3 linked regions of the Ovis aries genome follow. The protein of the gene in region 1 purifies or fractionates together with the protein of each later gene. This does not show direct contact. Links are inferred from orthologs where the notes say so. Each region holds a gene or a part of one and is shown on either strand. Other genes may lie near its edges. The genes, in order: USP12, PHLPP1 and DMWD.

Region 1 (4,388 bases):
AGTGCCTTTTGTCACAGGTGAAATAAAATTCTGTCAACTTTATTATTTATAGAATAAAATGTCAACTCACTATAAATGTTTTCACAGTTGCTGATTCTCTAAGAGATCCAGCCCCCTCCTCCCACCACCCAACACACAACCTCAATCTCAGCCACGTTTAGCCAAACGCACTCCCCCCAGACATTAGCATGGGATGGAAGGGACCCAGAGAAACTCTTGACTGTCCGCAGAAGGTAGTGCTCTACCAAACTGAACAAATAAACAACAGTCCCTCTGCTTAAGGCCTTTACAATCTATTATAATAAGGCGGTACAACATAGCCAGTGTTCTTGCCTGGAGAATTCCAGGGACAGAGGAGCCTGGTGGGCTGCCATCTATGGGGTCGCACAGAGTCGGACACGACTGAAGCAACTTAGCAGCAGCAGCAGCAGCAGCAGCAGCAATGTGAGAAGTACCACTGAGATTAAAAAAAATGCTGTGAAAAGACATGAGTGGGGATGAAGGCTGGGGATGGACAGGTGTAAGATTATTCAAGTAAGGCTACCCGCTTGAGAGAGAGCTGTGAATGCGCCAGAAATCTACAAAGGCACACAGGTAAATACTTTTCTTTTCTTGGTTGTCTACTTGGTGATATCTCAGAAGATAGGCTGAAGTCCTCCTTAAGCAAAAGATTGCAGGCTACTTTGAGATGTTCAACCCTATCTCGGACAGCGTCAGAGTTTTTATTCAAATATGAACACTGACACACCCAATTTTAACACTGCTTCAGGAGCAATCTCATTTGGCTGAGCACTGATGTTTCTGTATTTGCCAACAATACACACATCACACTACATGCAATTAATGCACCAGAGCAGAAGCCCTAGGAAGAACTCTAGAGCATAAGGTTCTTGAGATCAAGATCCCACTCAGTGTTTGACATGGCAAATTGCTCTGCCTCATTTTCTTAATTTGACTAGCGAATCTATAAATTCGTTGATGTGAATGATGCATGTTTCCCTTAAGTAGAAGGTAAACAACCCTGAAAGCAAGAGTCCCACTTGACTGCTGCTGTATCCCCAGCACTCAGCACACCCTCCTGCACGAAGTAGGTGCTAAATGTATACCTGAAATACTGGAGTGGATGAGCAGTCAGTAAGACAGACACATCTCTCCAGAAACTCTAGACTTTGACAGGGAACCATGACCCGGCAATCTGTGCAGGCTCGGCGGTCTGTGCAGGCTCAGCAATCTGGTGAGATTATCAAGATTATCATTTTCAAAGACTTAATTATCACATTCTTTCTGAAATAGAGTAAGATGATAACTGACACATCTAAACGTAATTTATCTACCTGACCCTTGGAAATCATCCTTTAATACGGTCCCTTTAACATCAATGCTTTCCTAAAATGTGAACTGTGCGAAAAAACATCCACTTGAAATGGACTCTTCATGATTCATTCTTCAGCGTGATGTCTTTAATACTGTAGATTTTAATCCCACCTGATTTCAGCCATTTTTAAAAATACTGGTTCTCAGAGTGCAGTTCAGAAATCTGCGGCTAAAAGCCATCTTTCCGATCGGATTCGCAGCTCCTTAAAGAAAGGTACAGGAAATGTACCACCCATACGAGGAAGACAGCTGGTGGGGGGCGGGGGGAATCTCCCACAGGCACAAAAAGGGCTGGGAAGGCGTAAAACAGAAGGAAAGACTGCAGGAGTCTTTAATAAACGAGATCGCTAGGCCCACGTGGTAGAAGAATAACTTTTTTTTTTTTTTTCCTGAGACGGCTCATAACTAAGATCGCCAGAGAGATCGCCAGATGTAAAAGTCATGAGGAGCTAAGGAAACGAATTCGCCCCCACCGTGTGAAGTGACAACGGGTACCCTGGCCAAGCACAGAACACCAAGATTTAAACGCACACTTGCTCTGCTTAACTCGGGACTTGTCCACGAGGCAGGAGCTCTTTTCCCCTGAAGCTCTTTTCCCCTTCTACTTAAAAATCCCCGACACGACACAAGACAGCGATGCTGCCGTCAGTTCCCGCACAGAAATACTTCCAAGTCACACACCGATGCGTCTGGTGCGTTCAAGTAAACAAACGACAGGAACGCTTAAGCTGTTCTCAGGATCGGCGGGCATTCCCGGACAAGACTCCCCAGCTCCAAACCAGGGAGCTCGGTCACCTCCGAGGAGGAGACACGGTGAGGGGAGGAGGGGGGGTCAGTTTCGACAGCACTTGAAAGTTTCCCTCTTCGCGCGCACACACACACACACACACACACCCGTCCCCCGGGCCCGGCGAGGGGACGCGGCCTCGCCAGGGCGCGGAGAGCAGACCTGCGCCGACTTCCGTGCGCGCGGGCCGGCAGCGGGACTTGCCTACCCCGCCGCGGCCCCGCGCGCTCCGGACGCAAAGGCGGGGACACCACGCGCGTGCTCCCGCCTCCGGCCCCCCAGAGCCGCGGCGATCGGGAGCACCGCCGGCCCGCGCCCCTCCCTGCCCACGCGCGCCCCGGGGCCGCTCCGCCCGCGTTCGGGCCGCGCCGTCCAACCGCCCCCGGCCGGCCCCGCGCTAGGCCCCGCGGGCGGCAAGGGCGGGGACGCGGGCCGCCCGCCCGCCGTACCTACCATGGTACAGATGGAGGCGAGTTTGGAGACCGTCATTAGGATTTCCATCCGCCCAGCGCCATCTTCCACCCAATCGCGGCGGCGGCGGGCGGGGAGGGAGGCAGCCGGGCCGCCCGCTCACACCGCGGGCCGACCCCGAGCCTCCGCGGACCCACGCACCGAGGCTGCTCAGCCGCCGCTGCCGCTTTCGCCGCCGGCGCTCCGGCACTCCCCGCCGCGGGCCCCAGCCCCCGCCTGCCTGCCGCCCGCCCGCCCCCGGCTCCTCCCCGGCGCAGGGCGCAGCCGCTGCCTCGCGGCCCGCGCCTGCCCGCCGCGCACCCCGCCCAGCGCGCTGGGGAGCGGGCTCCGCCGAGGCCCTAATGCCCGGCCTGCCCAGCAGATGCGCGGCCTGGCGGCGCGCCCGCCCCGCCCACCATCACAGGCACCGCCCCGCCCCTCCCACCTCCGCGCGCCCTGCCCACTCCTTCGCCGGCCCCGCCCACCGCCGGCGACCCCCCCACCGCCGCGCACCCCGCCCTCTCTCGTGCCGGCCCCGCCCACAGCAGCGAGCCTCGCCCGCCGCCGCGAGCCCCGCCCACTCCCGCGCCGGGCCCGCCCTCTCCCCGGACACCTCCCTCCCGCCTCCCTGAACGCGCCGCTCTGGGAACTCCCGCGCCGGCTCCACCCCGCGCTCGGCCGGGGCGGGGCTCGAGCGGCACCGCCTTCCGTCCGCGGCCCTCGCGGTCCTAGAGCCTGCGCTTCGGGTGAGGGACGAAGAGGGGCGCGGGGATGACTAGCGTCCATCCTGAAAGGAGCTGACCTCCAGCTTCTACCACGGCCGAGGGAACAGCTAGCCGCCACTGCCCAGCCAGAAAACTGAGGGGGGGGGTCTCGACAATCCTGGGTGCAATGGGGGGAAACCTGCTTCTGGACGGTTAAAATAGCCCAGGTCATCCAGCATCCCAAACGGCAAAAATGCAAGGTGGTTTGTCTCTTTTTACACACTTTGGGTGAATAACCTGGGTCAAAACACCATGATTTAGCGAAAGACAAATTAATTCAATAAACGTGAAAGGGGCAAAGAAGAAACTATATATATTTAGCTCTTTGAATCAAGAAAGGTAAATTACAAGGAAGGGGGCGAAGCTGCTTTCCTGCCTGCTTGTTGGCCATAAATTTAGAATTTGGTTATAAATATAGTTTCTAAATATATTTGTTCTGAAAGTCGAGTTGCAAAATAGGAAAGATCTCAACCCAGCAGTGACGATGATGTTCCCAGGGACAAGTAGTCCTGCAAGTGAGAAAAAGGTCCTGTGAGAAATGGTGAAGCTGGTGTTAGCCAGGAGAACAGTTACCATTTTCTGCTTTTGTAAAATGCATAATTTCACCCTGTGCTTCCTGTCAGGCAGGGCAGCTTCGTGTCTTCCTATCTGAGAAAGAAGTTCAAGTTAATAGAATATAAATTATTGTATTAGCCTGCTTGTGTGCTCAGTCACTCAGTCGTGTCTGACTGTTAGCGACCTCAAGGACTGTGGCTGGCCAGGCTCCTCTGTCCATGGGATTCTCTAGGCAAGAACGCTGGGGTGGGTTGCCATTGCAGGGGAATCTTCCCCACACAGGGATCAAACCCGCATCTCCTGTGGCTCCTGCATTGGCAGGCGGATTCTCCACCACTGAGCCACCTGGGAAGCCCTTATTGTATTAGAAAGCGTGATTTTTCACGATTAAAGAACTGTAGTCATGGAATGCTTTTTTGGGTTCCCCCATTTCAGTGGGGCAGAAATTCAGACGCAAC
Region 2 (3,027 bases), on another chromosome or scaffold:
ATTCAGAGTGATGGCCCTCATCTGAGACCACTGCCCACAGCTCAGCAACCAGCAGGTGTGGGGAGGTCCAGAAGCGGGCAGAGTTTTAAACTGAAGGAGGCTGAAACAAATTGCTGGGGAGATCCCAGTGAGACTAGGTAGGGAGAAGTGAAGTGTTTGGAGAGGCAGACACTTATTCAAGGAGAAAGGCGGCTTCTATAATTCCTGAGCTGACTTTGCTGGCAGCAAATGGAGACGGTGATGCCTCCCGCTTCAGTCCAGCTGGGTGCCCACCATCTGAACCATGAACCAAAGTTTCAGACCGTTTGCCAGTAAAAAGCTTTTACTCTGCGGCTGAAGCGAGGAGCCCTGGTATAACTGCTTGGTTCTTGATTCTTCAAGTTCTTCTGCAGAAACGGTTAATCTCTGCACCATGTGCTGTTGAGCACGGGACTCAATGCACAGTTAACAGTGTAACTCGGTCCCATCTGAGACTCTTCGCTCCCTACATGGCGTCTAGTGTCCACTTCAGTCCTCTCTGCTCTCAGAACAGGAGGGGCCTGGGGTCGAGAGGAAGACTCCTTTCCCAGACTCCCACGGTAGGTCCTGAGTTGTCTTCCTCACGGCCCTGGGCGAGCCTTCCTGGAGTCAGTCTCTCTCTACTGACTGCAGACCTCCACCACTGTCCACCTGGACATCACACGGCTCCTCGGGCTTTACTGACAAGCGAGACTGGACACCTCCTGTGGGCAGACAAGGGAATCACGTCGACAGCACCTATCCGTTTCAGGCACACAGAGGTGACCCCCACTGCAGGGTGAGCGTGTGAACAGAGTCCAGCTCTTCCAGCCCGTTCTGGAGGCTGTGCCGCAAGCAGCCTTCGGTGCCACAGCCCGACGGCCTTTCTCAGCAGCGGCACTTGGACCTTCCGGGCCAAAGACTGTGCTGTGGGGCCGCCCCGCACCGTGGAGGCTCAGAGGGGCCGCCCGGCACCGTGGAGGCTCAGAGGGGCCGCCCGGCACCGTGGGACGCTCAGCAGCGTCCCCGGCTTCTCCCTGGGCGTCCCTGGTGGCTCAGACGGTAAAGAATCTGCTGGCAATGAGGGAGGAGACCAGGGTTTGATCCCTGGGTCGGGAAGATCTACTGGAAAAGGAAATGGCAACCCACTCCTGGAGAATCCCAGAGACAGAGGAGCCTGGCGGGCTATAGTCCGTGGAGTCGCAAACAGTCAAACAAGACTGAGCGACTGACACACAGGCGCACACACACTGGCTTCTACTGGCTACGTGCCGAAAGCACGCACTCTCCACCCCAGTTGTGACAACAAAAATGTCCTCAGACATTACCAAGTGTCCGTGGTGTTGATGGGGGAATGGCCCCTGGCTGAGAACCACTCACCGCCTTATTTGCGTGCAGCAGGAGGCACGGACTGAAGTAACAACTAGTTAATTCACACTGATACGTACACTGGCCTCGGGAGCCAGACAGACGCCTCGCCACGCCCGCTTCACCCAGGAGGAAGCCGAGGCGCCGAGGTTGAAAGGTGACAGCCTGCAGGGCCCAGAGCCAGGAGGAGAGGAGGGCAGGCAGTGTGACCTCTGCGGGCCTGAGCCCTCTGCGGGCGCCCTGAGGAAAAGACAGGATGACCGTCCGGCTCTGACATGGAGAGGGCACCAGGCCTGAGCCCCCTGCGGGCGCCCTGAGGAAGGGACGGGGTGACCACCCGCCCTGACGCAGAGAGGCCACCGAACCTGAGCCCCACTGCGGGTGCCCTGAGACACAGCCAGAATGACCGCCTGGCCCGACGTGGAGAGGCCGTCGGGCCTGAGTCCCCAGTGGGCGCCCTGAGAAGGGGATGGGGTGACCACCCAGCCTGACACGGAGAGGCTGCTGGGCCTGAGCCCCGCGTGGGCGCCCCAAGGATAAGACGGGGTGACCACCCAGCCTGATGCAGAGAGGCCACCAGGCCTGAGCCCTCTGCTGGCGCCCCGAGGATGGGACAGGGTGACTGCCCGGCCCTACGCAGGGCCTGAGCCCCACTGCGGGCGCCCTGAGGAACAGCCAGGATGACCGGCCGGCCCCGACGTGGAGAGGCTGCTGGGCCTGAGCCCCCAGCGGGCGCCCTGAGGAACAGCCAGGATGACTGCCCGGCCCCGACGTGGAGAGGCCGCTGGGCCCTGTACTGTATTCTGCACGTATAATGACTCAGGCACGTCACACGCAGCCTGCTCTGTGATGCTGTGGATCCGGACCTGTCATCTCGGATCAGCTCCGGCGTCTACAGGACGCCGACGGAGATGCTCCCCGGCCGGTCCCGCAGCCCCCTCCCAGCCCCGCCCAACCTGAGGGAGACGGCCCTCACCTCGGTGATGATGGCCTTGTGCCGCTTGATTCTCTGCAGCTCCTCCTCGCAGCTCACAGCATATGACTTGGAGAGGGGCAGCGGCTCGCCGCTCCGGCACAGCACCGTCTGGCACTTGCCCACGTTGGCGGAGGTCAGGGTGAAGGGTCCTCCTGGGTCCCCAGGGTCGTGCCTGATGTGGCAAAGGACGGCAGCGCCTCCAAGCTTCTGCCCGGCTGTGCCCAGCTTCCTGGAGTGCAGAGACGGGGCTGAGAGACCACACCGCTGCCAGACGGCCACACGGGGCAGGGGAGCAGAGCTCGGGGCTCCACGCGGCGCCTTCACCGAAGCAGGGCCTGCCGGGCGCAGGGGAGCCCGCGACACTGGGCGCACACACAGGCACACACGCAGGGCCTGCTCCCAGCTGCGCGGGGCCGCTCCGCCACAGAAAGCCCGAGGAGCCGCTGAGGGACAAGGAGCCCTTACCCGGCTTGGTGTGGCCTGCGGCGCCCGTTTCAGTGCGGCCAAAGCCAGCGGGGGTGGCCGCGTCTCCCTCACCCTCTGCTCCCGAGAGGGGCGGGGGGGACCCAGCGCACAGGAGCAGGTGTGACCCCCCCACGACGCGTCAGAGTGGCCGATCGCGCCCCTCACGGGCTGCTTGCAGGCAGGAGCCTTCACACACTGCGCTGTTCATGTTCTTGTCCTGC
Region 3 (2,415 bases), on another chromosome or scaffold:
CTGGAAGCTGTGCACTAACGAAGCCCTCTGCCAAGGCCCGCCTCCGCCTGGGTCCTGGTGGGCCGGCGAGGAGAGACTCACCGCCTTGCCCGGCCGGGCCCAGGTGCAGATGAGACCCTCCTGGCAGGCAGTGATGATGCAGTCCTCCAGGAAGAGGAGGACCGTGAGCCGCTCCTGGGCGATCTTCTTGCACACCAGCGGCTCCAGCAGCGGCACCTCGTGGATGCGCGGGCAAAGCGCGGTGCCCAGCACCTTGGCGGGGTCCAGCCGGCTTCGGGGGGCGGGACCGCTGGGCTTGTCCCCGCCGCCCCCGCCCCCACTGCCACCCCGGCTGATGTTGCCCAGACTGTGGTAGCGCTTGTGCTCTTTCTCGGCCCCGCGGTCCCGCCGCTCCTGCAACGTGAGCGTGGCGAAGCGGCCGATGCTGAAGGGTGTGCCGGGCTCTGCCGCCGTGCCCGGGCCGCCCGCCTTGCCGCTGCCTGCGGGGTGTGGAAGGCTGTTGGAGCGGGATAGTGAGCGGGGCAGGGGCCCGGGGCCCGGCTCGCCGCCCCTCGAGCCGCTGGCGGTAGGCGGCGTGGTGCCGGGCGTGCCGGGGAGGGTGCGCGTGCGGGCCAGGGGAGGGTGTGGGTAAAGCACGTCTTCGGTGAGGTCCCACAGGCAGAACTGCGTGTCCTGGCCGGCCGAGCCGAAGCGGTAGGTGATGGAGCCGGCCTTGGGCAGCGGGGACAGGGGGGCGCCCCCGCCGGAGCCTGTGCTCCCAGCCTCCGGCTCCTCCTCCTCCTCGCCACTCCGCTCCCCGTCGGCGCCCGCGGCCGCCGCCTCCTCCGCCCTCGTGGTGTAGGGGTCGAAGGCCACGGCGTTGACCCAGGACTTGTGGCCGTGGCCCCGGGCCACCACGCGGCCCTCGGCGAAGGACCACACGGTGACCAGGTCATCTTCACCCCCTGTCACAACGTAGCGCCCATCGGGGCTCCAGCACACGCAGAGAAGGCCCCCAAAGTAGCTCTTCATGAGCCCCCGCAGGAGCATGGAGTCGAAGTGGAAGACGCGCAGGCAGCCATCCTGGCTGACGCAGGCCAGGTGCCGGCCGTCGGGCGAGAAGGCGAACTCGTTGAGGGGCCCCTCGCCCACCGCCCACTTGGCCAGCGGGTTGCGGGGCGCCTTGCTCTTGGCGGCGTAGACGGCAAAGCCCTCGCCCTGCTTCAGCAGGCTATACTGGGGCGGCGCCGAGGCGCATGGGTGGCCGACGTTGTACAGGTACAGGTGGCCGCTGGCGTGGGACGCCAGGAACAGGCTCTCTGACTCGGGCAGCCACTTCAGATACGTCACCTTGGTCTTGTCGATGAGCCGCTACCAGGGGAGAGAGTGCGGTTGGGAGAAGGCCACCCTCCCCTGGCCCACCTCCCCCTGAGCCTGGTTCCCGGCAGAAAGTCATCATCCCCAGCCTGGGTCTCCCAGGAGAGGAGGGGCTGAGGGAAAAGGACAGACACCAGCACGGGAAGGCAGGGGGAGAAAGGCTGTGTGAGGGGCGCTGTAGAGTCTCAATGTCCCTTCTTCGGCAGGAGGGCAGTCCTGCATTCCAGAGCAACATCTTCTGTCTAAGCCCCTCTACCATCTTTACCGTGTCATGCTTAAGGCAAGAAATTGATTCACCGACTATCAGCTCCCCTGAGGGAAGGGACCTTTGCTTATTTGGTTCATTGTTCTGGCCCCACAGCACAGAGCTCCACAGGTAGGAGCCCTGGAAAGTAGTTCCTGGACTCATCAATGACAACCCCCATCCTATCCACTGAGCATCTCTGCTCCTTTTTGTCCTCAGCACTCTCTTCCACACCTGCAACAAATCCTGTGGGCTGGAGCTTCAAAATTCACCCAGAAATGGACCTGTTCTCATCTCCCTGCCACTGAATCCAACCACCCTGGTCTCAGCCCTCATCAGGCTTGTGATGGCCTAACCGGCCTCCCGGCCACCACTGCCCAGGTCTCTTCTCTACACCATTGCCAGAGAGATGCGACTAAAACCTAAGCCAGCAACCTAGCACTCTCTCCCACTCTGAACACACATGGCAGCCTTTATCAGGCAGGGCTCCGGAGAGAACCAAGTCTTAAAGCCCTTAGGCATCCAGTGCCTGTAACAAATTAACTTCTTTCCCAGGTATCTAAGTGGATTCCCATTCTGCATTCTCTGGAGAATTTAGAAATCAATCAAATCGTTTCTGCTTTCTATAACTCAGGTGAACCCAGGTGGCAAGCGTTCATGACCTTCCAGACCCTCCATCTCCTCTCCCTTCCGAGTTGTTTCTGAGAACTCCTCTATTACCCTCCCCCTCAACACTGCTCTGGTCACCCAGCCTTTCTGCTCTCCTGCTTTGGGCATCTGTGCTAGCTGTTCCCTCTATGCAGAACGTCCTTCTC

What was found.
Region 2: the proteins of USP12 (region 1) and PHLPP1 purify together in Homo sapiens (affinity purification with mass spectrometry; 4 studies listed by BioGRID and IntAct, with this or other methods). This does not show direct contact. The link is inferred for Ovis aries from reciprocal best matches to the Homo sapiens genes USP12 and PHLPP1.
Region 3: the proteins of USP12 (region 1) and DMWD purify together in Homo sapiens (affinity purification with mass spectrometry; 3 studies listed by BioGRID and IntAct, with this or other methods). This does not show direct contact. The link is inferred for Ovis aries from reciprocal best matches to the Homo sapiens genes USP12 and DMWD.

Annotation. Positions count from the first base shown.
Region 1 is NC_056063.1:32,937,518-32,941,905, reverse strand, and holds the start of USP12 (ubiquitin carboxyl-terminal hydrolase 12), read right to left. Parts: upstream 2,826-4,388; 5' UTR 2,663-2,825; coding exon of another isoform or gene 2,615-2,662; intron 1,232-2,614; 5' UTR 1,185-1,231; coding exon 1,107-1,184; intron 1-1,106. UniProt on the Homo sapiens protein: Deubiquitinating enzyme that plays various roles in the regulation of the immune response and inflammation.
Region 2 is NC_056076.1:61,589,489-61,592,515, reverse strand, and holds part of PHLPP1 (PH domain leucine-rich repeat-containing protein phosphatase 1), read right to left. Parts: intron 2,571-3,027; coding exon 2,342-2,570; intron 1-2,341. UniProt on the Homo sapiens protein: Protein phosphatase involved in regulation of Akt and PKC signaling.
Region 3 is NC_056067.1:53,110,719-53,113,133, forward strand, and holds part of DMWD (dystrophia myotonica WD repeat-containing protein), read right to left. Parts: intron 1,351-2,415; coding exon 82-1,350; intron 1-81. UniProt on the Homo sapiens protein: Regulator of the deubiquitinating USP12/DMWD/WDR48 complex. Functions as a cofactor that promotes USP12 enzymatic activity.